7 linked regions of the Callithrix jacchus genome follow. The protein of the gene in region 2 interacts with the protein of the main gene of each other region in a pairwise test. Links are inferred from orthologs where the notes say so. Each region holds a gene or a part of one and is shown on either strand. Other genes may lie near its edges. The genes, in order: FOSL2, GOPC, MYOCD, RNF183, VTN, HCK and CERCAM.

Region 1 (3,500 bases), on a different chromosome or scaffold from region 2:
TTATAATTTTTTTGAGATGAGTTTTGTTCTCGTCACCCAGGCTGGGGTACAGTGGCATGATCTCAGCTCACTGCAACCTCTGCCTCCTGGGTTCAAGTGATTCTCCTTCCTCAACCTCCCAACTAGCTGGGATTACAGGTGCCTACCACCATGCCTGGCTAATTTTTGTATTTTTAGTAGAGACAGGGTTTCACCTATTGGCCAGGCTGGTCTCAAACTCCTGACCTCAGATCATCTGCCCGTCCTCAGGTGATCCACCCACCTTGGCCTCCCAAAGTGCTGGGATCACAGGTGTGAGCCACTGCAGCCGGCCCATCCCTCACTTTAGTTAATGTTCCCAGGCACCATCTACCAGCCTAGGCTTCTCTTTCTGTACTGCAGCCCTCACGCTGGGGTGTTGAATGAATTGAATTGCATGAATTCTGTGATGCCTGTAGTAATGTCCCTCGGAGGTGTGAGAGCCGGGGAGGATGAGTGGGAATTCTTTATACCCAGGCAAGGCAGATCCACAGTACACTGCCTCAGCCAGCCCTCCCACCACTACCTTTTCTCTGGTTGGCACTTCAAGGAGCTGTGCCCCATGTGGCGCTCCTTACCACCCGCCTGAGAATAGTCCTGCCCCCCGAGGCCCCTCTCATTTCTTCCTCTCCTCCTAGAAGCCTCACACCCCACTCCCCTGCCTCCCCCGCCCTCTGGCCCAGCCACCCAGGCCCCTGAGCCACATCCTCCACAGGAAGCCTCTCATAAGCTCATGACGTTCATCAGACCCTTGAGACAGACGGAAACTTTTTTTCACTCCGGAATATGCTGTACTCTGCTTAATGAAGCCCTTGTCTGTATCTCCTCACTGATGAACAGGCATCCATGTTAGGGAAAACAGGGGGAGGCTGCTGACACACACCCTCTCCCCTCCCACATAGGCCCCTCCATGTGCACTTGCTCGCTTCTGCTTCTCTGGCTGGGGATGAAAGAAGTGGGGTGAGGTCCTTGCGGGGTGACCCTGGTGTCCTCACAGGCCCTCTCAGGCTGTCACGTTACTTCTGTGTCAAGCATGGTGGCTGAACCGCATGTTCTCTGAGGGTTCTGGGAGTCCTGAAATATGTGCTTAAGAAAGTAGAGCGAAAGGCTGGGGGTAGTGGCTCACGTCTATAATCCCAGCACTCTGGGAGGCTGAGGTGGGTGGCTCACCTGAGGTCAGGAGTTCAAGATCAGCCTGGCCAACGTGGTAAAGCCCTGTCTCTACTAAAAATACAAAACTAGCCAGATGTAGTGGTGGGCGCCTGGAGTCCCAGCTACTATGAAGGCTGAGACAGGAGAGTAGCTTGAACCCAGGAGGCAGAGGCTGTAGTGAGCAAGATTATGCCACTACACTCCATCCTGGGCAAGACAGAGTGAGACTCTGTCTCAAAAAAGGAAAAAAGAAAGAAAGAAAGAAGAGAGAGAGAGAGAGAGAGAGAGAGAGAGAGAGAGAGAGAGAGAGAGAGAGAGAGAGAGAAAGAGAAGAGAAGAGAAGAGAAGAGAAGAGAAGAGAAGAGAAGAGAAGAGAAGAGAAAAGAAAAGGAAAGGAAAGAAAGAAAGAAAGAAATTGGAGCCAAAAAAAGGGAGAAGAGGCTGTGATGATTCCATAGGGATATGCTGAGCACTTATTAGAAGCCAGGCACTGTTCTAGGCACCGGGGATACAGGAATGTGCGTGACACAGCCTCCACTCTCTTGCAGCCTTGGGCTTAGCGTGGATCCATCAACAGCTGGGCTGGCATGGGGTTGGGAGGAAGAGAAGGCGAGGACTGCACAGAGCTGCGTTCCGTGCCCCTTCTCCATGCAGATCTCTGCCGTACTCACCCCTCGGGTACCAGGGGGCAGTCCTGGCCCCAAGGCTGTAGAACATAGTAGTAGCACATAGATTCTGGAGTCAGATACAATGGGAATCTGATCTGGGCTACCCCACCTGCTAGCTCTGTGACTTTGGAAAATTAGCACAACCCCTCGAACCTCATTTTCTTCCTCTGCAAAATGGGGTGATGGTAACATCTTCTTCCAAAAACTGCTGGAAGATTGAATAAGATCACCTATGAAATGCTTAACCCAGTGCCTCGCACACAGTAGGTGCTGTGTTATGGCAGCTGCAGTTGTTATCGCACCCCCTCTCGAAGCTAACTCTCCTTCTTTGGAAATTAAAGGAATCTTGAGCCTCCAGGTGACTCAGACCAGTGGGGTCTGTGGTTAGGTGTGTGAGCCTGTGCTCTCACAGTGTCTGAGGGCATTACTGGTATTCTCTTTCCTGCCTAGATTGGAACTGCCCCCCAGCAGGGTCCCTGGCAGGTTGCTGTTCCTCACATCCCTCTCTTTCCCTGGCAGGAGACAGAGGAGCTGGAGGAGGAGAAGTCGGGCCTGCAGAAGGAGATCGCTGAGCTGCAGAAGGAGAAGGAGAAGCTGGAGTTCATGTTGGTGGCTCACGGCCCCGTGTGCAAGATCAGCCCCGAGGAGCGCCGATCGCCTCCAGCCCCCGGGCTGCCACCCATGCGCAGTGGGGGTGGTGCGGTGGGCGCTGTGGTGGTGAAGCAGGAGCCCCTGGAAGAGGACAGCCCCTCGTCCTCATCGGCGGGGCTGGACAAGGCCCAGCGCTCTGTCATCAAGCCCATCAGCATTGCTGGGGGCTTCTATGGTGAAGAGCCCCTGCACACCCCCATCGTGGTGACCTCCACGCCTGCTGTCACTCCAGGCACCTCAAACCTCGTCTTCACTTACCCTAGCGTCCTGGAGCAGGAGTCGCCTGCATCGCCCTCTGAGTCCTGCTCCAAGGCTCACCGCAGAAGCAGTAGCAGTGGGGACCAGTCATCAGACTCCTTGAACTCCCCCACTCTGCTGGCTCTGTAACCCAGCTCACCTTCCTCCCCAGCTTGGGAGGGGGTCCTCCTCGCTCCTCCTTCCCAGGGACCAGCACCTTCAAGCGCTCCAGGGCTGTGAGAGCAAGAGGGGGACCTGCCAGGGAGCTTCCTGGCTTTGGGGGATCCAGGTGGGACTTGGCAGTGAGTATTGGAAGACTTGGGTTGATCTCTTGGAAGCCATGGGACCTCCTCCCTCATTCATCTTGCAAGCAAATCCTGTTTCTTGAAAAGCCTTGGAGAACTTGGTTTGGTGGACTTGGACATCTCTCTGGCTTCTGAAGAGCCTGAAGCTGGCCTGGACCATTCCTGTCCCTTTGTTACCATACTGTCTCTGGAGTGATGGTGTCCTTCCCTGCCCCACCACGCATGCTCAGTGCCTTTTGGTTTCACTTTCCTCGACCTGCCCCTTCCCTCCCTAGTGTCAGTTTCAGTCCCTCTTGGTTTTTATCAGATTTGCCATGACATTTCATCTGGGTGGTCTGAATATTAAAGCTCTTCATTTCTGGAGACGGGGCAGCAGGTGACTCTTCTGCTGGGGCTGACTTGTCCAGAAGGGGACAAAGTGCAATACAGAACTTCCCTACCCTGGTGCTTCCCAGTGCACCATCTCCAG
Region 2 (3,500 bases):
TTCCAGGCCAGGCACAGTGGCTCATGCCTGTAATCCCAGCACTTTGGGACACCAAGGCAGGCAGATTACCTGAGGTCAGGAGTGCGAGACCAGCCTGACCAACATCAAGAAACTCCATCTCTACTAAAAATACAAAATTAGCCAGGCATGGTGGCGCATGCCTGTAATCCCAGCTACTCAGGAGGTGGAAGCAGGAAAATTACTAGAACCCGGGAGGCGGAGGTTGTAGTGAGCCAAGATTGCACCATCACACTCCAACCTGGGCAATAAAAGTGAAACTCCATCTCAAAAAGAAAAAAAATAAGGATTTCCAAATTCTTTGTGGGGAGGCTTAGGGGTGGAGAGATCTCAGAGATAGGTCATATCCAGAAAACAAATAATGAAATTCTAGACTCTAAAGAGGTAGTGAGGTCATCATGTCTAGATCAGCCCCGTGAATCCTCTCTACAGGTCCTTTACACATTATAGTAGCTCTTTCTACTGACCATAATCTTTTTGTTAATAGGTCTAAAATATAAAAGGATGCTTAATTATTAAATTTATAGAATTTTAGAACAAGAATTCAGTTTAAAAGTTATTTTGCCATGTTGTAATGCACACAGAAATTCAGCAAATACATCTAAATAGTCAGATATTAAATAAGGAAATCATAAAAACTTTCCTTAACTGATTCAGGAAATGAATTTTCTACAAAATGATTTTTTGTTTTTTATTCAATAATAGTAATTATTATATTTATATATTTAATTATAGCTTTCAATCCTTAGAATAATCCTGCTATAGTCTCTTTTACATGAATGAGAAACCTGAGTGAGTCTGGAGAAAGCAGATAACCTTCCCTATATAATAAACAAGAATAAAGAAAAATAAAAGTTTGACTGTACAGTCCTTGCTCTTTGTATTATGTCAGAATAATTGTGTAATATTTATACTGTCATTCTTTAACAATGACACATTCAAATAAAAAGTTACATATCATGCCAGGCACAGTGGCTTACGCCTGTAATCCCAGCACTTTGGGAGGCTGAGGCAGGTGGATCACTTGAGCTCAGGAGTTCTAGACCAGCCTGCGCAACATGGCAAAACCCAACTCTACAAAAAAAAATTAGCTGGGCATGGTGGCATGCACCTGTAGTCTTAGCTACTTGGCGGGCTGAGGGCGAAGAATCTGTTTGAGCCTGGGAGGTTGAGCCTGCAGTGATCCATGACTGTGCCACTGCACTTCAGCCTGAGTGACAGAGTGAGACCCAGCTCTAAAAAATAAAAAATAAAAAAAGGTACAGAACATTTTATGTTAAAAAAAAATTCGAAGCTATAATTGTCATTTAATAAGACTCCAACCACTACATACAAGTGTGGTGTTAGCAACTCTGAAAATTATGGCTTGCCTTTGCTCAAAAGAAAGCATGCTATGTTTAACTGCTACTCACTAAGTTAGTCTCTTTGGTGCTCTTCTTTCCCAGCAGTTTAAGGTTATACCTCAGAATTTAGTATGTGCTTAGTTAGCATTTCCTTAAAACTATGACTGCCTATTGCTAGCTCCTTCACCAGTCATCCCACTCTTTTGCTACTGGATGACAGTCAAGATGGGCTGATAAAACACTAACTTGAGAGAATGGGGTAGCACTCTTGATCTCTTTTATCAGAGAGATAAAATACCATTTTGCAGAAAGAGACAGACAATGCAGTGGTCTTCAGCAAAGTTTTAGATGACAGAATTAGATCTGTGGGTAGCTGTCATGGAGACAGAGATTTCAGGCTTAATATGAGAAAAAGCTTTCTAAAAATCAGTCCTGTATAACAATGGAATGGACTGCTTGATATCAGCAAGTCCTTCCTTTAATATAATCATTGAAGTAGTGATGTTGCGAAGATTTAGGCATCATATAGGATTGAACCAATGAACTATATTCACTTTCAACTCTGAGATTCAATTCTACAGAGGCATACCACACTGATGATCCAAAAAACATCTCAATGTACTACCAATGCCTCTAATTCCCTCAACTCTATTCTTGAAAGAAATAAACAAAACAACATTTTAAGTACAAATGTATGACAAATATGACTCCTGAATATGAATCTTAATTCTATAATTTATTTGCTCGGCAACTTGGAGGGAATCCTTTCATCTCTAAGAACTTTAGTTTACTCATTTTAAGAAAGACAGTTGGGCTAGATAGTTTCTATGGATAATTTCAATTTTAAAATTCTATGACTAAAATCAATCCACTTCTAGCATTGTCTTTTCTGTAATACCTTATATATAGTGTTTTAGGCATTAAGGATGATTTTCTCGGTCTCAGGTCCTGTTCTGAGTCCTTTATATGTATTAACATATTTAATCCTCACAGCTTTCTTTCAATCCCTCCCACACAGGGGAGGACACTGTGGGAGAGAGGACTTAAGTAACCTGCTCAAAGTTATGAAGTAAACAAAATGTCCATTTTCAGTAAATACGACTGAATGTCATTTATAAAAGCATTAAATCAAAGGAAACAAGATCTAGGTATAAATATTTTACTGCTTTAGAAACTTCATAGGGAAGTATACAGTGTTCAATAGATTTATAAAGAAGTAACTGATAGATCCAATTCTAATTATATTAAGGGAATTTACCTGCTGGGAAAGAATGGTTACAGCTTCTTTATGCTTTGTGTCCCTTAGGTTAACTCCATTGACTGCCAAAATAGCATCCCCAACATGCAGCCCTCCACATCTATCAGCAGGTTGCCCCGGATGGATCTCAGAGATGAGGATTGGAACACCATGTTCTTTCCCACCCTAAAACAATAATAAAAGGCAGTAAATTAAAGCATTCTTTGTATAGTCACTGATTAATCTGGAGATAAACTATTTTCTTAAAAATCTTTCATTAAGCACCTATGCTGTCTCTATAAATGTTGGGTAAAATTTTATTTTCTACGTAAGTAATGGTAAAAAAAATTATTACCAAAGAGTAAATTGGCTAAATTCTGAAATTAAAAAAATTTACGTTAGTACTCCATAGCACCATTATATTTTATCAAGTCTGAATCATCACCAATGACAAGACCAATTATTTTAGGTGCCACAAAAATAATTTTAAGATTATACAATTAATTTCAATTTCAGAGAAGTTAAAATATAAAAATATATGCAATGTAGAATTGAAGAAATACAGTACTTGGTACCTATCATTCTCTAGCTTGTATCTTTGATACACACACACACACGGGGTGTGTGTGTGTGTGTGTGTATCTTATTTGTCCTGCTAAAATGTATGCTCTTTGAAGGCAGCTCATTAAAAAAGGTAAGTGGTCAAGACATATAGATTAGATGAGCCTTTTATTATAAGGAACATTTCTACATTAAGCAGTACCAAAAAAATGAATGAACTTGCTCAGTGCCTAAGTATTACACCAAATGAAAATTAAAGCCACCTTGTTCATTAAAGCACTGAGATTACAATATAATGACTCCTAAAGGCATCAAATTTAAAAAAGGAATTATAATATTTA
Region 3 (4,126 bases), on a different chromosome or scaffold from region 2:
TCTGACCCATCAGGAAGAAGGTGTCTATTCCTGAAGACCTTATTTACAAAAAAGACCAGCTCAGATCCAGAGATTGAGCTCAAGGGCTAACCCCGTAATATGTTTCCAGCAACAACGGATGGGGCAGAGGCCGGGACTCAGGGCATTAGAGGTTGTCCCATGAGCTATATTGTCACCTCGGGTCTCCATCGGTAACCGAGTGATCTTTTAAGGACTGGTAGTAAAGACATAGGCAGGCTTGTGTGTAACAGTCGACACCCGGGAACCCACGTGCACATGAGGTTGCAAATCAACCCTAATTATATACGTATATAGAGTGTGTTTTTTTTTAATGTTCTGAGCCACCAACTATTAAACCAGCTTCTCGAGAGCTGGGTCTTTGTATTATTTCATTGATCCATGTGCCTAGAACACCTCGGCAAGATGCTCCAATAACTCTGGATCGGTTACGGAATTAACTTTCGCCTATGGAAAGACTCATTTGCAGGCAGTTTTTGCGCCTTTCCAGGCTAACCCCAACCAGAGCTCTGGCTTGCCCTCTGCTCCAGAGCCCCTCCCTATTCACAGTCCAGTAGGGTTTTGACTCAGACTCAGGTATCTTTCCCCATTCCCTCGGGTTTGGAGGTGGGAGCATTGAGTCGCCGCTGGATCTCCAGATGCACCGAGTCACATCCCCCAGCCTACCCCCAAAAAAGCATATCCTAGAAAAATGCAAGCTTTTCCATTTTCCCCGTGGAAATGCATCCAAGTCCGGTATTGGAGCTGCGAGACACAGAATCGTCCCTGCCTGTGCACTGAGCCCCTCAAACCGAGGGGAAGGTGTGGGCTTCGGTCCTTCGGAGGCGTTTCTTCTCAGGGGTCCAGCTGATTTCCAAACCGTCCCGCGGGCGCTCACGCCCTTTGCCGCCGGCTGGAGGGAGATCCCGACCGCGTCCCTCCGGCAGGCAGAAGCCCTGGCGGGGAAGCCCCGGCTGCGCACGCCCATGCCCAGGCCCGCAGAGCTCCCCGCGCCGCCGCAGCCCCGCGCACCACCTGCAGGCCCCGCGGCGTGGCAGCCCCTCTGACTTTCCTCCGGGCCTCGGTTCCTTAGCTCTGGCCCCTCTCGCGGATTCCCGACCCCCGGCCCTGCTCCCGCCCTCTGCGCCCCGGAGGCCGCGGGGCCCGCTGCAAAGAGTTAAGAGCCGGCTCCCGAGACTGCTCCGGCGGCTCCGGGTCCCCCGGGCCCCGCTCGCCGCTGCTGATTGGCTGAGCGCCTGTCAGTAGTAAAGAGTATCGGGTGGCAAAGTTGGGACCTTCATAAAGGCGTGGTGGCGATTCTCCGCAATCGCCGGCAGCCTATGACATCAGCCAGGATCGCCTGGGATGCCGCTGCCCCCAGCCAACCTCCGAGGAGGAGGAGGGTCCCGCCGGCTAAGAGTTAATTAGCCCCGCACGGCGAGGGGGGGAGGCGCCAGTTTTCTGGGGACACTGGCTGCCACTGTACTCCTACCCAGGGGAGCTCACGGCGAGTTGGATGAATTCTGGGTTGTTAGCTGCGGTCAGCTGGGCTCCCGGGAGCCTGTTGCTGGTGGAGAACAGGGGGCGCCTGGCAAAGGGACCCGCGGCTTGCTGAGCCTCAACATGACACTTCTGGGGTCTGAGCATTCCTTGCTGATTAGGAGCAAGTTCAGATCAGGTAGGGCATTTAGCATTCCTTCTTGAACTTTCCTTTTCTGCCATTCTCAACTCTAGAACTGCTTTCCAATAAATGTTTCCAAGCCTGCCAGGTCTACCTCAACTCTGTTCCCCAAAAGCACATTGTGGAAGCAAAGAATTTTATTTGACTTTTTGGGGGCCTTTTGTGTCTTCCGTTGTAAGTGCTTTTGGGTAGTAGAGTGTGGTTGTTCTTCTGTGAAAAGGTCAATCCTTCTATTTTATTTTCTCTGTATCTGTGAATAGAAATCTTGGAGGGGTACATTGAGAAGGGGCAACTTTGGAGACGAACGAATAAGGGATTTCAAGCTTGGACGCTGCGTAGTATCAGTTATGATCGCTGAGAAGATGAACCTGATGTTTGTGTGTTAGGTACAGGGTCATTTAAAATGTAGCTAATCCAAACAAAGTATTTCCCAAAAAAAGTCACTTGGAGGAAGTAAAAATAGCAAATTTGGAGCACACCAAGTATTTAAAATGACATCACTGTAGAAAAAAAAAAAGAAAGCCCAGTGCCACAAATATTTTTTCCCAAACCATCTGATATTTATAAATGGAGAATTTCCCCGAAATTTCTGTGTTAGTGGCACATGGAGAAACTTCTCAAAGGACGCTGAGTGGAGGTGAGTGGAAGGGAGAGACGGGAGCTCTAGCTGCTTCTCAAGAAGGGTTTGTGCACGTGCCCATGGAAGGTGTCCGTGTGGGTCTCCACGTTTAGACAAATCAACACTTGACTTCTGAAGTTATTTTTCGGTAACTCTGTGTATAATGTTGGTTTTAGAAAACTGGTTAACAACACAATAATGTAGAACGTCTACTTAGATTGGTTACTTTTAGGAGAACTCTGATGCGAATATTGACATAACAGGTGTCAGAAAGATACAGGCATGGTTTGCTAAGCTTTCGTAGCCCTTTACATGGGGCCAACGCAATTGTTTCACGTGGGATGGATGTTTCAAAAAGGAAAAATGTAGCTGCTAGGAGGTAAGGTTCATCTGTGACTTTCTTAGATGCCCTTGGTTTGTAGATGCCTGTGGGGTCAACTGGAGATTTTCTTAGGATCTTCACCGTTGACGCAAGTTGAAAACTCAGGAGCTTAGGCGGTCACAAGCCTCGCTGCCCCTGACGCTCTGGGATGAGTCTACCAGCCACCGGGGTCGGTAGTGGATTACGTCCTGCCTTTCCGTGGTGAGGTGAGGCGGTTGATCTGTTAATTAGCTAGGGACCGCGCCGCTGCTTTGTATTTGGTCGAAACTGCAAGGCAACACTGCCACCTTTCTGAAGAAGAGAGGATGTAGATTCGTTTTGTATGAAGCTGCATTCACTTCAAATGCTTCCTTGCCAGTTGAAATGTAGAGGGTCTGGGCGTGCTGGTTTGTCTCTAAAAGGATTTGGTGATGTACTTGATAGTAGACTTGCAAAACACCTATCGATCCCTCCTTCAGCTGAAGTGCAGTGGAGAGGAAAGGCAACGTTTGCACCACTCCCAACTTCCATTTCAGTGGATTTGGGGAGTCCTGGTGTCTCCTAAATAGACCCTGAAAACCCTGATCCTGGAGCTTCAGAGAATTCCAGCCTCACTTTTTAAGAAAGTTATGCAGGCTTTTGTGTCAAAAGGAAGGGTGGATTTGGGAAAACATGATATCAAAGCAGAAGCAGGCGTCTTTTATCCTCCCATCACTGATAAACAGGGAATCTGGAGTCTGAGATGCAAGCGTTGATCGTCTCTTGACAGACAGGAGAAAAAACAAGTGGAATGTAAGACTTAGAAACGTAATGTTTCAATGGTAGTTATTCTTTCCGGATGTAATTACTACTCTGGCTGGGCCAGCATTGAGGTGACAGCGTGCTGACAGTAGGGTCTCTCTTTAAGAGAACGCCGTTTATTTTGTGGCTAACAATGAATAAGTGCCTCGACTTTATTTTGATTTCTCGCTCTCTTTCACTATTTTCCCTTCTCCTTCATCATCTTCTCCTCCTCATCTTTCATAAGCAATTCAAATGTAAACTCATAAAACTGATTCGATCTCACTGCGAATATTTGCTTTGATAGTAGATCATGGTATTATGTATTCCATTAAATAAATGCAATGAAATTGTTCTCTGATTACAGCAACAGACTCACTGTGACAGGGTTGTTTATAAGTGAGCAGATAACTGCTTTTACTCTGAAATCATTGATGTCAGCCATGTCCGATCAACTTTCTATAAGCTGTAGTTGAGTGACCTCTTGATTAAGGACAAAATCATGCTACAGCAGCAGTAAACTCTGAAAGTTTACCTGTATGAACATGTTTGGTGATACAAACTCATTTGAAAAGCATGGGTCTCAGGGCCAGACTCGCTGGGTTTTTAATAGTAATCTCTACTCATTAGCTGCATGACCTTAAACGTTAGGTAAATTACATAATTCTCCGTGCCTCAACTTGCTTCC
Region 4 (4,210 bases), on a different chromosome or scaffold from region 2:
GAGAAAGTTTTCACTATGAAATCAAACCATTCACGTGCTCAACCATGTAAATATATAACCTATTTAAAAATCAAATTTGGACATGGTGACTCAAGTGTAATCCTAGCACTTTTGGTAGGTGGATTGCTGGAGCCCAGGAGTTTTGAGACCAGCCTAGGCAATGTGGAGAAACCCCATCTCTACAAGAAATACAAAAATTAGCCAGCCACAGTGGCATGCACCTGTAGTCTCAGGTACTCAGGAGGCAGAGGTGGGAGAATTGCTTAAGCCCAGGAGGTTGAGGCTGCAGTGAGCTGTGATCATGCCACTGCATTCCAGCCTGGATGACAGAGTGAGACTGTCTCAAAATAAATAAATACATAAAAATTAATGTAAAAAAACACAAAATGAGGAAACTGGGGCTTTTGATTACATCACCAAGCAGATACGTTTATTTACTTATTTCTTTCTCAAGCACTACTGAATATGTCAGTAAAGAAATAAGGGACCAGACATGGTGGCTCACGCCTGTAATCCCAGCACTTCTGGGAGGTCAAGGTGGGCAGATCACCTAAGGTCAGGAGTTCGAGACCATTCTGGCCAACATGGTGAAACCCCGTCTCTACTAAAAATATAAAAATTAGCCGAGCATGGTGTTGGGTGCCTGTAGTCCCAGCTACTCCAGAGGCTGAGGCAGGAGAATCGCTAGAACTCTGGAGGTGGAGGTTGCAGTGTATCAGTATCACTCCACTGTATTCCAGCCTTGGTAACAGAGCAAGACCATGTCAAAGAAAGAGAGATAGAGAGAGAAGAGAGGAGAAGAGAAGAGAGAAAAGAAGAGGACCATAGGTACAAACAGAATTTGAGTGGGAACAAAAGATGGGCCATGTGAACAGACTGGTCATATAACAATAATTGTTCTGGTTAACATTTACTGTATTACTGTGTGCCAGGCACTGTGTTATTATATGACCCCGATCACCTTGTTAATCTGCAGATTGAGTAGGTAGGTGATTATGGCCGTTTTCAGGTGAGGAAACTGAGGCTGGCAGAAGTTAACTGATTTTCTCAAGTCTCCATCGCTAGTTAAGTGGAGTTTGGACTCTCAGTGAGTACTGAATTCTGACCTAGAAGTATGCCTGGCTTGAGAACACTGGCTCTTCGGGTAGATGCTCAACTGCCTCTCTCCGACTATTTTTTCTGCTGTATTAATGGCCACTGTTGTTAGAGCCGTTTGTATTTTGGTTGCAGGGGCTCAGCAGGAAGAAGGATCCATCTGGGCAGAAGCCAGGAGTTGAGGCGGGTCAGCCACAGAGGGCAAGTGGAACCGGAGGGGATGGCAGGAGATCAACCCATCCAGAACAGAGGCCTGCAAGGATGAGTGCACTTCAACCCCCTCGGAGCAAAAGCCAGAGTGACTCACAGGAGGAAGACAAAGCAAGCAAAGCCTCCAGGGTGTGCAGGGAGTCCAAAGTCACCAGAAGGAAGAAGAAAACCTGAAACAGCCAGAGCTGGCCAAGCCTGCTAGGACCTATGCAAATGAGACCCACCCATGCTGCCTGGAAATCGGGCCTGGGAATTCAGAAAACAAAGCTCATGTGTGCAGGGCTGCAGGGACGGGTGGAGGAGGCTTCGGCTCTGAGGGAGCAGGTAAGGAGCCAGAGAGGGTCGCAGAGGGACGGGTCACCCAGGCCCCAGAGTCCTGAGAGAAAGAAGTGCGCAGCAGGTAAACTCTGGCCTGGGACGGAGGGCTCCTGGGTTCATCTTTCATCTCAGCTGCTCTTTAGCTGGGAAGCCTTTGGCAAGTCGCCTCACCCTTCTGAGCCTTGACTTCCCCATCTAGAAAATGGATCTAAAAATAATCATGCTAGGTCTGTATTGAGCACCTTCTGTATTCTACTGGGCACCTTATAGACTCTTCCTTCCACAGAGCAACTCTGGAGGAGTGGGATTATTAGCCTTTTTTACAGAGGAAAATGAAGTTCAGAGAGGTTAAGCCATTTGTCCAAGACAAATCGTTCCAAATCTGGTTCCAAAGCCGGCATGCTTTTGACTCCCCACTCAGCCTCTCTCACAGGGTGGTTTTAGAGTATCAAACGGCCTTCTGCAAACACAACAAAAAAAATCCTAAAAGGCAAGTAACCTATCAAATGGATCATCATGCTTAGATTTTAGCAAGGGCTAAACTATGAAGTGCTATGAAAATGCCAGTTCTTGGCTGAAAACATTGGAGTGACGCTAGGGACAATTGATATTTGGTGATGACTTGTTCTTAGACCAGGGAGATGACTTTGGGGCAGTGTTTAGGATTTACTGTAGCTGAGATGTCCTGACGTGGGGTGGGGTTGGTGCATGGCCAGAGCCTCTCCCCAGCTGATCCTGAAACAACAGATGATCCCTGGGGGAGCAGCACAGATAAAGGCCCAGGGAATAATGATCCTTCCTCCTCTTGGACAGCCCTTTACAGCTCTGGCTGTGGAACTTCAGAGAATGTAGATCTGATGTGGGGGGAAACAGGAGATCTTTACTTGTAGTAATACAAGCTTACCGGAGTAAAGCTAGAATTTTCAGGTAAAATTAAAAATAAAAAACCAACGTTTAATCTTGCCCCAGAGGTAACCACTGCTAATATTTAGTTGTTTATGTTTCCAGACATGTTTTCCTATGGTGCACACGGTTTTGAAAATTGGATTATATTGTAATATGGTTTTGTTGCTGGTTCTTTTTGCCTGATGACATTATATCCGAGGCATATATCCATATTAATAGTTTTATCACATCATTTTAAAGGGTGCATAATGTCGCTTTCTATGGATGGAGCAGAATCTACCTAATCAATGTCCTATTACTGGATGATGAAGTAGTTCTCTGTAGGTCACTGTTAAATCAGGGCCTCGATGGGATTCTCTGTAATCACGTCTTTGCAGAAGTCCTTGATGATTTCCATGGAATCCATTCCCAGTGAGGGAATTGATGAGTTGGGGCTACATATAGTTTAAGGCTTCCGATAAGTATTAAAGGTCTGTTTCTGCCACACTCTGGAATTCAGGGGCTCCTCAAAACTTGATGCAGAAAATTTTGTCATGGCTTTGAAGTCAACCTTGACCCTTCCTCTCTCTCAAATCTATTTACATTAATAATTCCAGCTGCCTCATATCCATAACAATGTTTTGGTCAACAACAGACTACATATATGATGGTGGCCACATAAGATCATAATACCATATATTTACTGTGCCTCTTCTAAGTTTATGTTGAAATACACAAATACTTTCCATTGTGTTACAATTGCCTACAGTATTCAGAACACAATATGCTGTATGGGTTTGTAGCGTAGGGGCAATAGGCTAGACCATACTGCCTAGGTAGATGCTACCATCTAGGTTTGTGTAAATATGCTCTGTGATATTAATACAATGATGCATTTCTCTGAACATATTCCCATTGTTAGGTGATGCATTGTTGGCTTTTTTTTTTTTTTTTTGAGGTGGAGTTTTGCTCTTGTTGCCCAGGCTGGGGTGAAACGGCACCTCCCAGGTTCAAGTCATTCTCCTGCCTCAGCCTCCCGAGTAGCTGGGGTTACAGGCACCCGCCAGCATGCCCAGCTAATTTTTTGTATTTTTAGTAGAGACGGGGTTTCTCCATGTTGCCCAGGCTGGTCTCAAACTCCCAACCTTGGGTGACGCACCTGCCTCAGCCTCCCAAAGTGCTGGGATTACAGGCATGAGCCACTGTGCCCAGCCAGTTCATCACTTTGTAGTCCTTACTGGGTGCTGGGCTCTAACTAAAAGCTTTACTAGTTTTGGCTTCCTTTTCATATGGAAAAAATAGAGGCACAGAGAAGTCAAGCAATTCAACTGGAATCACAGCCCTAAAAAAGCCATGGATCTGTTCTCATGAACCTTGACAATCGTGTTCCAGAAACTACAGTCTCGATCCTAAGAACTCCACTGCTTCTTGGGAAGTGGCTTTGGTTCTGTTCCCAAAGATATCACTTACCTGATCCCCTTTTATCTTCTCCACTACCACCTGACCTGCACCAGCACCACCATCGCACATCCGACAGAGCCCAAGTGGGTCTTCCCTTCCCACGCTTGTCCTCTCAGTCTGTCCTCTGCTCTGTAGCTAGAATGGTGTTTTAAAAATGGAAATAGGGGCCAGGCGCAGTGGCTCACACCTGTAATCCCAGCACTGTGGGAGGCTGAGGTGGGTAGATCACGAGGTCAGGAGT
Region 5 (4,096 bases), on a different chromosome or scaffold from region 2:
GGCCAGGAGCTGGGCAGCCCAGCCAGTACTGAGCGATGGAGCGTGGGTAGGGAGGGTCCACAGTGTCCACTCGCCGTGTGCGAAGGTTGACTCGGTAGTACTTGTCTGGAAGAGAAGAAAGCAGAGGGTGTGTGAGGCCCAGCCAGTTCCTGCCCACTCTTTCTTTGAGAAGAAAGTCTAGGGTATCTTCCAGAAGGAAAAGTAAATATCCACCATGCAGTTAAGGACTCCTGGCCTGGCTTTCTGTGATCACTACCTGCAGCCTGTATTCAGCCCCTGTGGACCCGGGACAGCAAGGAAGACCCAAGCTAGACCAGCCTCGGGGGTGGCAGGGGCTCCTACCTCCAGAGAAGAAGAAGACAGTCTGGATGGGTTCACAGGTGGCAGGCACAAGCCAGTCCATCCCATCATAAGAGTTGATTCCCAAGTCACTTTCATCACTGGAGAATAAGGACAGCCAAGTAGCTCGGGATGGCCGGCGGGAGTTCTGCTGTTGGCCACGGCTACGACCTCGGCGTGAACGGTAGCCTTTGCGGTTGCGATGCTTAAACTTTTGCTTCTTGGCCAAGGAGGGGCGGGGTGCTATGCCTGAGACGTAGATGTGGCCAGCCATGGCTGCGTCCACTTGCTCTGGCACACCGTGCCACTCCTGGCTGATGAACTGGGGTTGTCTGGTACCAGCTGTGGCAGGGAAGGGGTGAATGAGAGGTCTTGGGGGTCTGAGTCTTGGCCCCTCCAGCAGGGCCATTAGAATTCATCTGCTGCACCTTGCCCAAAGACACACAGCAGCTAATGGCAGAGCCCAGCAGCCAGGCCTTTAATTCTCCGTCCAATGCCCTTCCCCCTGCACCCTCTCCATAGTGTCTCGACCCTAGGCCCCCTAAACTCCTCAGCCACAGCCCCTCCTCTGCTGGCTGTACCCTCAGCTGTGCTAGGCAAAGTCCAAGGTGTGGAGTCCAGGTGGAGCTGAGTTTCCCCCAGAAGGTCAACAGAAGCAAAGTCTAGCCTGAGCAAATAGCCTTTGATCGATAGCTCCACAACCACAGCCCCTCCAGCCAGCCTGGCTCTACCGCTACACAGGGGTTCCAGCCCTTTTGAGGGAGAAGCAAGACTTGCCCCCTCTCCATACCAGAGCTTCTACCCCAGAAGAGAAGCTCGAAGATGTCCTCCCAGCTGTCCCGCTGCATCATGGCAAACTGCTCAAACACTGCCGACAGGGAGCTGCCTTCACATTCCTCCCGACTGGGCTGGTGCTGGAACTGGTACTCCCAGTACTGTTTCCCTGAGGAGTGGGGTGGTGGGCATTAGGAGGGCTGGGCCAGAGCAAGACTGGAGGTCCCAGAGGCTGTTGAAGTTAGGAGCTCCCACCATGAGGTGGGGTAGGGGTTGGGCACACGCTGAGGCCTGTCCCCAGTGAAGTGTGAAAGGAATCTGAGACTGCTCTGAAACCTGCCCAGGCTCCCACCCGCCCCCTGGGTACCTTTGAAGAAGTAGACCTGCTCCCGGCCACTGTAACTATGGGCAGGGAGGGCCAAGGCTGCATCCACGTTGTCCGGAATGCCATCAAAGCCGTCAGAGATATTTCGGGGGTAACCAGGGTCCAGGACACCATCCTCAAAGCGCCAGTACTGACTACCCTAAGAGGGAGGGAAGGTGAAAGGAGGTATGCAGGGTGCTGACTGGGCACGAGGCAGAGTCTTTTGCCCTGAGGCAGCCGTTCCCAGCTCCAGGTTCTCTGCCCAGGACCTGGAGTCTTGGGACTGCCCTGTGCTCACAGAGCCCCCACAAGGTCCTGCAGGGCCCAGGTCTGGGAGCAATAGCTCTCAAACCCTCCCTACATGCTTTCTACCTTGACCCACAGCCCCTGGCACCTTGAAGAGGTAGGTCTTCCCCTGACAGTTGATGCGGGTGAAGGCGGCATCGATGGGGCCCTCAATGCCCCAGACATCTCGGATGAGCTTGGGGTATCCAGGCCTTACTGCCTTTTCATCCAGTTCATAGCAGTATTGCCCTAGAATGGAGGAGGTGGTGTGAGAGTGGGGATGCTCGTGGGGCAGACCCCCATCCCCAAGACCTGCCCTTGGAATCACCTCGGAAGGCAAAGAGGGAACCGTTTTTGAGGTCAGTGAAGGCATCAAAGGGTTTCCCGCTGCACAGCTCCTCCTCTGCTAGGGTCTCAGAGGCCCCTTGATCAAGGGTATCAAGGCTTGAGGTCATAACAGGTGGGTGCTCAGGATGCCCTTCAGGCTGGGCCTGGAGGTCATGGGTCATGGAGGGCCCTCCTGGCTGTGGATGCGTGGTGGTGGTGTTTTTGTTCTCCTCATCATAGTCACTGACCCCGTACTCATCCTCCGGCATGACAAACACATCCCCACGAGTCACTGCAGAGAGAGTGGAGGATAGTGAGTCTCCAGCTGCAGGGAGGACCCCAGCCTACCCGCCTGGGCTCTGAACACACCTTGGGGCTTGCACTCAGTCATATAGTCCATGCAGCAGCTCTGGTAGTAAGAGCAGAGCTCGTCACACTGACACTTCTTGTCGGGGTTGAAGCCCTCGGTGCAGCGATACTTGCAGGAGTCTATGAGAAAGGGGTGTCAGTCGGTGCCACCAAGCCCGGGCCACCCTCGCCCACCCTACATAGATTCAGACAGCCGCCAACACCCTCCTGTACCTTGGTCAGCCAGAGCAACCCATGCCAGCAGGGCCAGCATGAGAAGGGGTCTCAGGGGTGCCATGACGGGGCTTCTAGCTCAGTGGCTGGCGAGCTGGGCTCTGATCTCCCTGAGGTCTCTGCTCTGATGCCTGAGGAAGGGAGGGAGAGGCAGAGACAGGGAGGGAGGGGACTGGAGAAGAGGAAATGCCTTTTCTGCCTCTCTGTTTGCTCAACCTCCAGCCCATCCCCCTCTGCCCTCCTCCGGCAGCTGCTGCAGCTAAGGGTCACATTCCTGAAACACTGGGTCTGGGAGAGCTGGGAGATAAGACCTTTGCCAAGCTGAGAATCATTAGGTCATCAGAAGAGGGAATTAGCACAGTGGGTCTGGAGGGCAGAAAGAAGGATCACTGGGCAACAGCTTTATCTCTCTGAGTCTTAGTTCATTTCAGTAAAGTGGGACAAACAAAGCCTTGCCTCATGGGGTGTCGGGAGACTACATAAACTAGAGCAGACAAAATGCCCAGTAGCTGGAGCAGCCACAAATTCCTTCTCCAAAAACGGCTATTGATCCATGATTGTTTGATCAGACACATCCCTGGTTGGGTGTTCATTTGCTATTGTTTATTTAGGGCAGAATAAGGGAGTGGGAGGAGAAATTGTAAGCACCCTGGGGAATTTTCTTTTTTAGCATAAAAGAACAAAGTTTTATTTCTGGGTTCTTCTCTTGGGTGCATCAATCTCCCCAGGCTGGAAATTTGGGTAAATATCAACCCTCTGGACTGGATTTGATTTCTGAGTCTTTTCACTTATTCTGAGCAGGCCACTCCCTGTCCCCAGCCTCAGTCTCCCCATCTGTAAAGAGTGGGCTTGTTCAGCACACTTTTAGGCTCTCAAGAGAAATATGATCCCTCTACCTGGAAAGTGCCCTCTGGCACAAAACACCTAACTTTGTGCCCAATTTAAGGTATCCACAGAACTTCTGAAGCCCTCCCATCACCTGAAGGAAGTGATGCTAAGATTTTAGCTGACGTTTTCTGTTCTGTAATCAGAGGGAATTTTGATTTTGGCCAATCTCTTCACCATGGGCTTCAGTCCCGTCATCTGTGGAATGGACACCAATCCCCACCTGATAGGCATGTTATGAGGTTTCGCTGAGAAACAGGCATAAAAGGGTCTTAAGAGTTATGATGATTGCTTTAACCATTTAGTAGGGAGGGGGCACACAGCGGAGTTGCTCCCACGTACCGGTGTCACAGGGGGCGGGGGGAGAACTGAGACCGTCCTCTCACTCTCCACCCCCTTAGTCCAAGTCCAGCGCAGAGAGAGGCGGCTGCTACTGAGGGGCTGGGGGAGGTTGGCCGGGGCGTGGGCGTGGCTGTGACTGGGGCGGCTTGGGGGTGGGGCTGCCCAGGCAGTGGGAGGAGCCCTGCGGGACCCAGAGGC
Region 6 (4,080 bases), on a different chromosome or scaffold from region 2:
AGTCCCTGGGTGACCCTTCCAGGCTTCAGTACTCCTCTCACACAAAGGGGAGGGTGACAGGTGCCCTCCCTGGGGAGCCATCCAGGCTTTTGATGTTTTTCTCAAGAAACATCTGTACGTAGGCCGAAGGCTACACATCCAGGATACTCCTGGCAATATTGCTTGCTGTAGTGCACGCCTAGAAACAACCTCAGTATTCATCCAGAGGAATGAGAATTAATATAGCGTGGTCACCTGCTGGGATATTCCACAGCAGCTGGAAGGAATGAATTAGGCCTCTATTTTCTATTTCTCATCCTGGATAGATTTTGACAACTTAATGATAAGAAGGGGGAAATATGCTCCTCTGCTATCCTCTTAGAATTGCAGAAAGCTCTCATAGTTAGATAGCATTTTTTTTTTTTTTTTTGAGATGGAGTTTTGCTCTTCTTGCTCAGGCTGGGGTGCAATAGCTCAATCTCGGCTCACTGCAACCTCTGCTTCCCAGGTATAAGCGATTCTACTGCCTCAGCCTCCCAAGTAGCTGGGATTACAGGCATGAGCAACTGCATAGATAGAATTTTTAAAGTACACAAAACAGTCCTACGTGTTGTTTATATGTATACATACACACACACAATCCTTTTTTTTCAAACAGAGTCTCACTCCATCGCCCAGGCTGGAGAGCAATGGTGTGATCTTGGCTCACTGCAACTTTTGCCTCCCAGGTTCAAGCGATTCTCTTGCCTCAGCCTCTGAGTGGCTGGGATTACAGGCGTGTGCCACCATGCCCAGCTAATTTTTGTATTTTTAGTAGCGGCAGGGTTTCACCATGTTGCCCAGGCTGGTCTTGAACTCCTGACCTTGTGATCCACCGGCCTCAGCCTCCCAAAGTGCTGGGATTACAGGCATGAGCCACTGTGCCTGGCCTACACAATACACTTTTAAAAGCACAACCTGGAAGGACTGTAATTCATGACAGCAGTTACCCCTAGGGAGGGAGGGAAACAGGACTGAGAGCCATACGAAGTGGGGAGACTTCAATATTTTCTGTTACTTTTAGTAAATTATTATTATTATTATTTTGGAGACAGTCTCCCTCTGTTGCCAGGCTGGAATGCAGTGGTGGGATCTGGGCTCCCTGCAAACTCCAACTCCCTAGTTTAAGTGATAGCGATTCTCCTGCCTCAGCCTCCTGAGTAGCTTGGATTATAAGGCACGCACCACCATGCCCAGCTAACTTTTTGTATTTTTAAATAGAGACGGGGTTTCACCACGTTGACCAGGATGGTCTCGATCTCTTGACCTCATGATCCATCCGCTTCGGCCTCCCAAAGTGCTGGGACTACAGGCATGAGCCACCGCGCCCGGCCCAGTACCTTTTATTTTTTAAAATAATCTCTCTCTGTTGCCCAGGGTGGAGTGCAATGGTGCAATCTTGGCTCACTGCAACCTCTGCCTCCCAGGTTCAAGTGATTCTCATGCCTCAGCTTCCCGAGTAGTTGGGATTACAGCTGCCCGCCACCATGCCTGGCTAATTTTTATACTTTTAGTAGAGGCGGGATTTCACCATGTTGGTCAGGCTGGTCTCAAACTCCTGACCTGAGGAGCTCTATCTGCCTCAGAGTCCCAAAAGGCTGGGGTTGCAGACATGGGTCACCCGGCCCGGGGTCTTCAGTACCCAATTAATCCTCTAAACAACCCTGTGAAGGAGGTGCTATTACTCTCCCCATCCTGCAGTAGTGAAAACGGAGGCAAAGGTCAAATCCTCCACCCCAGGCCCGACGGGCAGCTTGCGCCTAGAATCCGCCTCCCCTGACCACTAGCCTGTCTCTCACACGCCCCACCTCTCGCATACTCCAGTTTCTTGCAGCCTTGCAAGAAAGACTTCATAGCCCCGTTTTACAGATGAGGAAACGAATTCGGAGCGGGAGAATGACTCCTCCAACAAGGAGGAAAGTGACAGCTTTGGCCAGGAGGTTTGGGGGTTTGACCTGGACATGCTGTGGGAGGAGGGGCAGAGAGCCGACCAGCTGCAGCCGGCCTGGGTGTGGCTCGCACGTCACGCCTCCGCCCAGCTGCCCCCTTCCCCAAGCTGGCTGCCAACCCTGCGTGACCCGGCCCCCGCCGGGAACCGTAAGGGCCTTCCCCTCCCAGGCCCTGTGAAACCCCATCCCTTCCTTCTTGTTTTTTAAAATTTTTTATTTTTTTAAATAAATATGTATATATATATATATATATATATATATATATATATATATATATATATTTTTTTTTCCCCCCCTCAGAAGGGGAACCTGGACGACACAGAGAAGTGGTGGATAAAGTCACTGCACCGGCCAGAGCGTCCCCTCCCCCGGGCATCCAGCAGTCCGCAGCAGTGCCGCCCCTCACCTGGGCACCCTCCACTTGCTGTCGACCCTTCACGCCACAGGCTACCCGCGGCTCCCCCGACGCCCCCGTCTCCCCTTGCTGCCCCCCAGCAGCACTCACATCCAGCCCTGTTCGGGACCCTAGGCTCCCTCCGCCGGCTGGGACCCCTCGAGGGCCGGGTGTCCCCGGTCCCTTGTGCGTGGCACTTACCTGGGCGCCCGCTCCCCCTCTCGCGGGCAGCCCGGATCCTCGCAGCTCGAACGCCCCCCCAGCTCGGCAGTCCCCGGGGTTCCTGGGTGTCAGTGCCTGGAAACTGACTTTCTAGAACTAGAGGTGGGGGGCGGCGCTCCAAGGGGCTTTGGTGCCCCCGCGGGCTTTTCTCGCCCTGCACCGTCTAGGTCCCCTCCCACTCGCCTCTAAGCCTCTGATGTGCTCCCGGGCTGGTACCGGGGACGCGGTGGCGCCCGCAGGCCATCTGGGCGCCTTGGCCGCGCCCTGAGCTATGCTAACCCCGCCCCGCGTGTCCTAACGCCGCCCCGAAGACTCAGAAGCCAACCCGGGATCCTAACCCTCTCCTCTAGGGTCATAACCTCCGCCTCCTGCAAGCAGGATCCCAAACCTGCCACCAAGGAAAAATATAAAATAAAATTAACACCAACCATCGGAGGCTTCTAACGCGTCCACCAAGGATGCTAACGCCCCCTCCCCGCTCCACTCTCCCTCACACCTCCCCCAAGGCAGGTAATCCCACTGCCCAGCGTCCTACCCCGGTCTCCAACGGATCCAAATCCCGCCCCCAGGGATTCGAATCCTCCTGTCTAAAAACCCCAACACCTGCTCGCATGCTCCTAAGATCCGAACCCCGCCCGCCAAAGGATTTTAAACTTCCCTCCAAAGATTCTAATCCGCCCAACGAAAGGATTCGAACTCTCTCTTCAATGGATTCTAACCGTGCCTTAAAGATTTAAAACACTAACCCCAGGGCTCCTGCTCCTGCACGACCCCAACCTCCCTCCGCCTGAGAGTCTGAATGCCCAGGGGTCTATCCTGCCGGTCCAAAGATTCCAACCCTGACGTCCAGATCCTACCAAAGGATTCCTGCCACAGTCTTCCAGCCCCACCCTGGAAAGGTCTTACCCTACCCCGGAAATAATCATGATCCCTTTCTTCCACCACTCCAACCCCTGCCTTCTGGCCTGGCCCTCCCCAACGCCGCTGCCCGAGCCTTCTAGGCCCGTCTGTGGTCAGTGGTTTCCCTTCCTCAGGCCTACTCCATTCAGACTCCATGCAAAGTTCCTTTCTTGAAGGAACCACCCTGGCTTCTGGGCAGCTCAGAGGACTCCCAAGCTGGGGGAGGTGGTCGGGGAAGTGAGGAGTCCGGCTGGAGGGTGACTGGGGCCCTAAATGGATGAAATTGTGCCCAGCCCCAAGCAATGACAAAACGCACCCTCTCCTGGAAAAGACGGGGGCTATCACCCTAAATTCTGTCTAACGCACCTCCAAAATGTACAGGAATCCGACTGCATCTCTCTATTCCAGTTGCTACCAGCTGATCAGGGCCACCGTCATTTCTTCATTCGTTCATTTATTCATTCATTCATAATTCATTCAGCAATGTTGTGCTGGGGGCTGGGGAATGCAGGGCTTCTTGGCACTATTGACATTTGGGCCACGGGGCCTGTCCTGTGAATGACAGGATGTTGAACAGCATTCCTGGACTCTACCCGC
Region 7 (4,097 bases), on a different chromosome or scaffold from region 2:
TGGCAGGGTGGGGGGGTGGGGGAAGCTGTCAGTGCATCATTCTCTGGAGGAATCCTGCAAGCCCTCCCAAATGGGTGATGTTGTCAGCCCCATTTGGGGAAAGTGACCTGTCTCGGGTTGGTTGTGGACGCCCAGCTCCATCCCATTTGTGGTGCCACCAGGCCTCTCCCTTTTCTGCTCCTCTCCGGAGAGGCTGGAGAGTCCTTTCCCTCCCAGCAGGGTCCTAAGGACACTGGCGGTGCCCCAGGGGAGCCAACATCCCCTGCTTTGGAGGGCGGCTAGGTCGCTGTGAGCAGCTCCGTGGTGTCCCCTTGTTCTACACTCAGACTAAGAGAGGGCTGTGTGTTTTGTTTGTTTGTTTCTTTTTGAGACGATGTCTCGTTCTGTCACCCAGGCTGGAGCACAGTGGCACGATCTCGGCTCACTGCAACCTCCGCCTCCCAGGTTCAAGCTATTCTCCTGCCTCAGCCTCCAGAGTGGCTCGGGTTACAGTCGTGCGCCACCACACCCGGCTAATTTTTGTATTTTTAGTAAAGATGGGGGTTTCACCATGTTGACCAGGCTGGTCCTGAACTTCCGACCGCAGGTGATTCGCCCGCCTCGGCCTCCTAAGTGCTGGGATTACAGGCGTGAACCACCGCGCCCAGCCCGGCTGTGCTCTTAAAGGGCCGGAGCAATGCTGGTGCTGGCGACCGAGGCGAGGAGGTGATGCGCAGGGGACTTCAGTCGCAGAACGCCGCGGGAGTACAAACCCAGGTCGGAGGATCCCTCCGCGCCCCCCACGCAGGTATCGATCTCGGGCCCTGGCGTGGCCCGATTGGTCTGAGGAGCTGGCGCCGGGGCCGCCAGAGGGCGCCCGGGGTGAGGGGGAGGAGGGGACGCGAGCCGGGGAAGCCCAGGGAGGGCGCCGCCCTGCGGGGGTCTGCAGCTCTGGTCCGAGGGTCGGCTGCATGGGTCGGGGAATCTGGATTCCGTGGGTTCAACGCCCAGGGGTTCCAAGAGCCCCGACAGTTCTCGGACGCCCGGCAGGCTCCGACGCACTCGGCCCAGCACCCCTCCCCCGTCACCGTCCTCGGGCCCCTCCCCGGTCGCCTCTCCGGGCGGGGCTGCTCCCGGGTCAAGGCTGGCGCGGGTCTTCGGGCCCTGGCCCTCCGGTGCCCCAGGCCGAGGACAGAAAACTTGAGCATCCACACGCAGGGGTAGAGAGTGGGGGCCACTCTGGGGGTGCACTGCCCCGCCCCCTCTGGGTCCGCCTCGGCCCCACCCGGGCCTCAGGCCCCGCCCCCTCCCCTCGGCCGGAGAGCCCCGGGGGCCGCTGCAGCCGCCAGAGTGCCCGCCATGCGCGCTGCCCCCGCTGCGCGGCTGCTCAAGCTGCTGCTCCTGCTGGGGTCGTGGCTGGAGGCTCCGGGTGTTGCGGAGTCACCGCTGCCCGCTGTGGTCCTTGCCATCCTGGCCCGCAATGCCGAGCACTCACTGCCCCACTACCTGGGCGCGCTGGAGCGGCTGGACTACCCTAGGGCCAGGCTGGCCCTCTGGTGAGAGACCCGGGCATTGGCACCCAGTGGGCACCTAACCCCCAGCCTTGCAGGCGGCCCCTGCCCCTGGTGGCCCTCTCCCCTCACTCGCTGCCTAGTCACCACCCAGACAGGCCTCTCCCCTCACAGACGGCCCTGCCAGCCGGAGGCCCCAGCCGGGACCCCAAAGCGCCTGCTGGGTGACGACAGACCTCTGAGGCCACAGGCTGACGAGGGATACCCACTCCTCCTTCTGGTCCCCTACTCCTTCCTCTTGGGGCCTTCCCAAGGGTAGATTGGGCCCAGCCAGCCCTTTTCACCCCAGCCTAAAGAGCCCAACCCAACCTTGGTGGGACCTGTGGCTGGCTGGATTTGGAGAGGAGCAGACAGGAACCTCTGAAGTCCCCTGGGGCCCAACGTGGCAGGGATAGGCCAGGCTGGAGGCTTTAGGACACAGGTGGGGGGTGAAATCAGCACTGGGCTCCGGACTGTGCAGGGGAGTCTGTTCAGCTCCCCCTCCCTCAGGGCTGAGGCCAGCTGTCTTGGTAGAGGGGCGGGGTCCAGTCAGCCAAGAGCCCCCCTCACTGGAGCCTCTCCCCTCTGGCACCTCTGTACCCACAGGGCAATGGGATAGGAGGCCACGACCCCTAGTCTGTAGACACCAGAACAGGGGGGAGTCCCTGCCCGAGGTTGGGGGTAAACAGAAAAATGACAAGCCACCCTTTACAACACACCACACAGGGCTGGGGGGGTGGAGCCCTGGCCTGGGGAGGCCGCCCACAATTACCACAGTTTGGGAGTTAGTTAGTTCCCACCCCTGTAAGACTTGACACGTAATCTTCATTTCTGGGGAACTGGCTTAAAGGGGCAGCATCACCCAAAACCTGGGATCTTGGCTAAGCACCCCTCTGTTATGGGAGCCCCTTCCCCAGGAGAGGGGAGGCTGTGCCCCATGACAACAGAGCTTGGGCCTAGCTGCATTCTCAGGGATGCTCAGAGCAGGATTTGGTCCTTATTACAACTCGGGGGTGGAGGAAAGCAGCAGCTCTTTGTCTAGTTCCCATTCAGAGAGGGACAGGGGCTGGCCTGTTGTCACACAGCCACAAGTCACACAGGTAGGTACCTGCCCACCTAACAAATGTAATCAGGGAATGCAGCAGGTGTGATGCTTAAAGTTGAGGTACTTTTCATCTTTCAAAATGCATTTGTGGGCTGGGCATAGGGGCTCACTCCTGTAGTTCCAGCACTTTGGGAGGCAGAGGTGGGCAGGTCACCTGAGGTCAGGAGTTCGAGGCTAGCCTGGCCAACATGGTGAAGCCCTGCTAAACACACAAAAATTAGCTGGGCATGGTGGCAGACACCTGTAATCTCAGCTACTCAGAAGGATGAGGTAGGAGAATCGCTTGAACCTGGGAGGCGGAGGCTATAGTGAGCTGAGATCGCGCCACTGTGCTCCAGCCTGGGTGACAGAACGAGACTTCATCTCAAAAAAAAAAAAATGCATTAGTCTTCTCTGTTTTGGCCTATGACATAAGGGGGACAGATTAAGTTATAGAGGGAGGATGTGAAGCCCGGAGAAAGATGGGACTTGCCTGAGGTAACACAGTAGGTCACAGAACTGTGTTGGGGACCTGGCTGGGCTGCCTCCAGCGCCTCTGCTGTAGCACACCCAGCCTTCACTGTTCCAAGGAGAGCCCGGCCTCAAAGGTGTGGGTGCTTCGGGGTTAAGGCTGCCTTGGGGTTCAATCGTTCTGTTGCTGTGCCGCCTCAGCCTCCTTTTTTCTTCCCATCCCCAGGTATGCCACGGACCACAATGTGGACAACACCACAGAGATGCTGCAGGAGTGGCTGGCGGCTGTGGGTGATGACTATGCCACTGTGGTCTGGAGGCCCGAGGGGGAGCCCAGGTGCTGATCTGAGGGGAAGGGTGCTGGGGAAGATGGAGAACAGCTGCAGCCTGGAGAGGAAAAGGGACAGCCCAGTGCCACAGCCTCCAAGCCAGGGCTCGGTCCACTGCCCTGCAGAGAGAGAGGGGCATAGACCCCATGGGAACATCTCACCTCTCTACCCCCTCAGGTCCTACCCAGACGAAGAGGGTCCCAAGCACTGGACCAAAGAAAGGCACCAGTTTCTGATGGAGTTGAAGCAGGAAGCCCTAACCTTTGCCAGGGACTGGGGGGCTGACTATATACTGGTAAGGAAGTCTGGCTAGAATTGGGCTACTGAAAGGTGGTAGTTTCTGTCCCTGATAGAAATATGGGTGCAGGCTGGTTGCAGTGGCTCATATCTGTAATCCTAGCACTTTGGGAGGCCAAGGCAGGTGGATCTTGAGGTCAGGAGTTCGAGACTAGCCTGACCAACATGGTGAAAACCTGTCTCTACTAAAAATACAAAAATTAGCTGGGCATGGTGGTGCCCACCTGTAATCCCAGCTCCTTGGGAGGCTGAGGCAGGAGAATTGCTTGAACCCGGGAGGTGAAGGTTGCAGTGAGCCAAGATCGAGCCACTGCAATGCAGCCTGGGCAACAGAGCAAGATTGTCTCAGAAAAAAAAAACAAAAAAAACAATAATTAGTTGGGCGTC

What was found.
Region 1: the proteins of GOPC (region 2) and FOSL2 interact in a two-hybrid assay, tested with the Homo sapiens proteins (2 studies listed by BioGRID and IntAct). The two-hybrid records come from large-scale screens. The link is inferred for Callithrix jacchus from reciprocal best matches to the Homo sapiens genes GOPC and FOSL2.
Region 3: the proteins of GOPC (region 2) and MYOCD interact in binary tests that used the Homo sapiens proteins (3 or more experiments, as listed by UniProt). The two-hybrid records come from large-scale screens. The link is inferred for Callithrix jacchus from reciprocal best matches to the Homo sapiens genes GOPC and MYOCD.
Region 4: the proteins of GOPC (region 2) and RNF183 interact in binary tests that used the Homo sapiens proteins (3 or more experiments, as listed by UniProt). The two-hybrid records come from large-scale screens. The link is inferred for Callithrix jacchus from reciprocal best matches to the Homo sapiens genes GOPC and RNF183.
Region 5: the proteins of GOPC (region 2) and VTN interact in binary tests that used the Homo sapiens proteins (3 or more experiments, as listed by UniProt). The two-hybrid records come from large-scale screens. The link is inferred for Callithrix jacchus from reciprocal best matches to the Homo sapiens genes GOPC and VTN.
Region 6: the proteins of GOPC (region 2) and HCK interact in binary tests that used the Homo sapiens proteins (3 or more experiments, as listed by UniProt). The two-hybrid records come from large-scale screens. The link is inferred for Callithrix jacchus from reciprocal best matches to the Homo sapiens genes GOPC and HCK.
Region 7: the proteins of GOPC (region 2) and CERCAM interact in a two-hybrid assay, tested with the Homo sapiens proteins (2 studies listed by BioGRID and IntAct). The two-hybrid records come from large-scale screens. The link is inferred for Callithrix jacchus from reciprocal best matches to the Homo sapiens genes GOPC and CERCAM.

What each region holds. Positions count from the first base shown.
Region 1 is NC_133515.1:86,636,675-86,640,174, reverse strand, and holds part of FOSL2 (fos-related antigen 2), read left to right. Parts: intron 1-2,357; coding exon 2,358-2,876; 3' UTR 2,877-3,500.
Region 2 is NC_133505.1:123,873,956-123,877,455, forward strand, and holds part of GOPC (Golgi-associated PDZ and coiled-coil motif-containing protein), read right to left. Parts: intron 2,785-3,500; coding exon 2,620-2,784; intron 1-2,619.
Region 3 is NC_133506.1:79,202,227-79,206,352, forward strand, and holds the start of MYOCD (myocardin), read left to right. Parts: upstream 1-1,326; 5' UTR 1,327-1,620; coding exon 1,621-1,675; intron 1,676-2,269; exon of another isoform or gene 2,270-2,315; intron 2,316-4,126. UniProt on the Homo sapiens protein: Smooth muscle cells (SM) and cardiac muscle cells-specific transcriptional factor which uses the canonical single or multiple CArG boxes DNA sequence. Acts as a cofactor of serum response factor (SRF) with the potential to modulate SRF-target genes.
Region 4 is NC_133502.1:161,615,265-161,619,474, reverse strand, and holds the start of RNF183 (E3 ubiquitin-protein ligase RNF183), read left to right. Parts: upstream 1-1,410; 5' UTR 1,411-1,629; intron 1,630-4,210. UniProt on the Homo sapiens protein: Acts as an E3 ubiquitin ligase catalyzing the covalent attachment of ubiquitin moieties onto substrate proteins. Triggers apoptosis in response to prolonged ER stress by mediating the polyubiquitination and subsequent proteasomal degradation of BCL2L1.
Region 5 is NC_133506.1:105,233,004-105,237,099, reverse strand, and holds the start of VTN (vitronectin), read right to left. Parts: upstream 2,801-4,096; 5' UTR 2,736-2,800; coding exon 2,672-2,735; intron 2,579-2,671; coding exon 2,459-2,578; intron 2,382-2,458; coding exon 2,091-2,381; intron 2,012-2,090; coding exon 1,872-2,011; intron 1,638-1,871; coding exon 1,481-1,637; intron 1,283-1,480; coding exon 1,130-1,282; intron 682-1,129; coding exon 343-681; intron 106-342; coding exon 1-105. UniProt on the Homo sapiens protein: Vitronectin is a cell adhesion and spreading factor found in serum and tissues. Vitronectin interact with glycosaminoglycans and proteoglycans. Is recognized by certain members of the integrin family and serves as a cell-to-substrate adhesion molecule.
Region 6 is NC_133506.1:7,148,722-7,152,801, forward strand, and holds the start of HCK (tyrosine-protein kinase HCK), read right to left. Parts: upstream 2,801-4,080; 5' UTR 2,563-2,800; intron 850-2,562; coding exon of another isoform or gene 748-849; intron 1-747. Other genes in the region: uncharacterized protein C9orf85-like, read left to right, coding at 748-849. UniProt on the Homo sapiens protein: Non-receptor tyrosine-protein kinase found in hematopoietic cells that transmits signals from cell surface receptors and plays an important role in the regulation of innate immune responses, including neutrophil, monocyte, macrophage and mast cell functions, phagocytosis, cell survival and proliferation, cell adhesion and migration.
Region 7 is NC_133502.1:177,025,254-177,029,350, forward strand, and holds the start of CERCAM (inactive glycosyltransferase 25 family member 3), read left to right. Parts: upstream 1-1,297; 5' UTR 1,298-1,338; coding exon 1,339-1,535; intron 1,536-3,310; coding exon 3,311-3,421; intron 3,422-3,590; coding exon 3,591-3,708; intron 3,709-4,097. UniProt on the Homo sapiens protein: Probable cell adhesion protein involved in leukocyte transmigration across the blood-brain barrier. Does not express any beta-galactosyltransferase activity in vitro.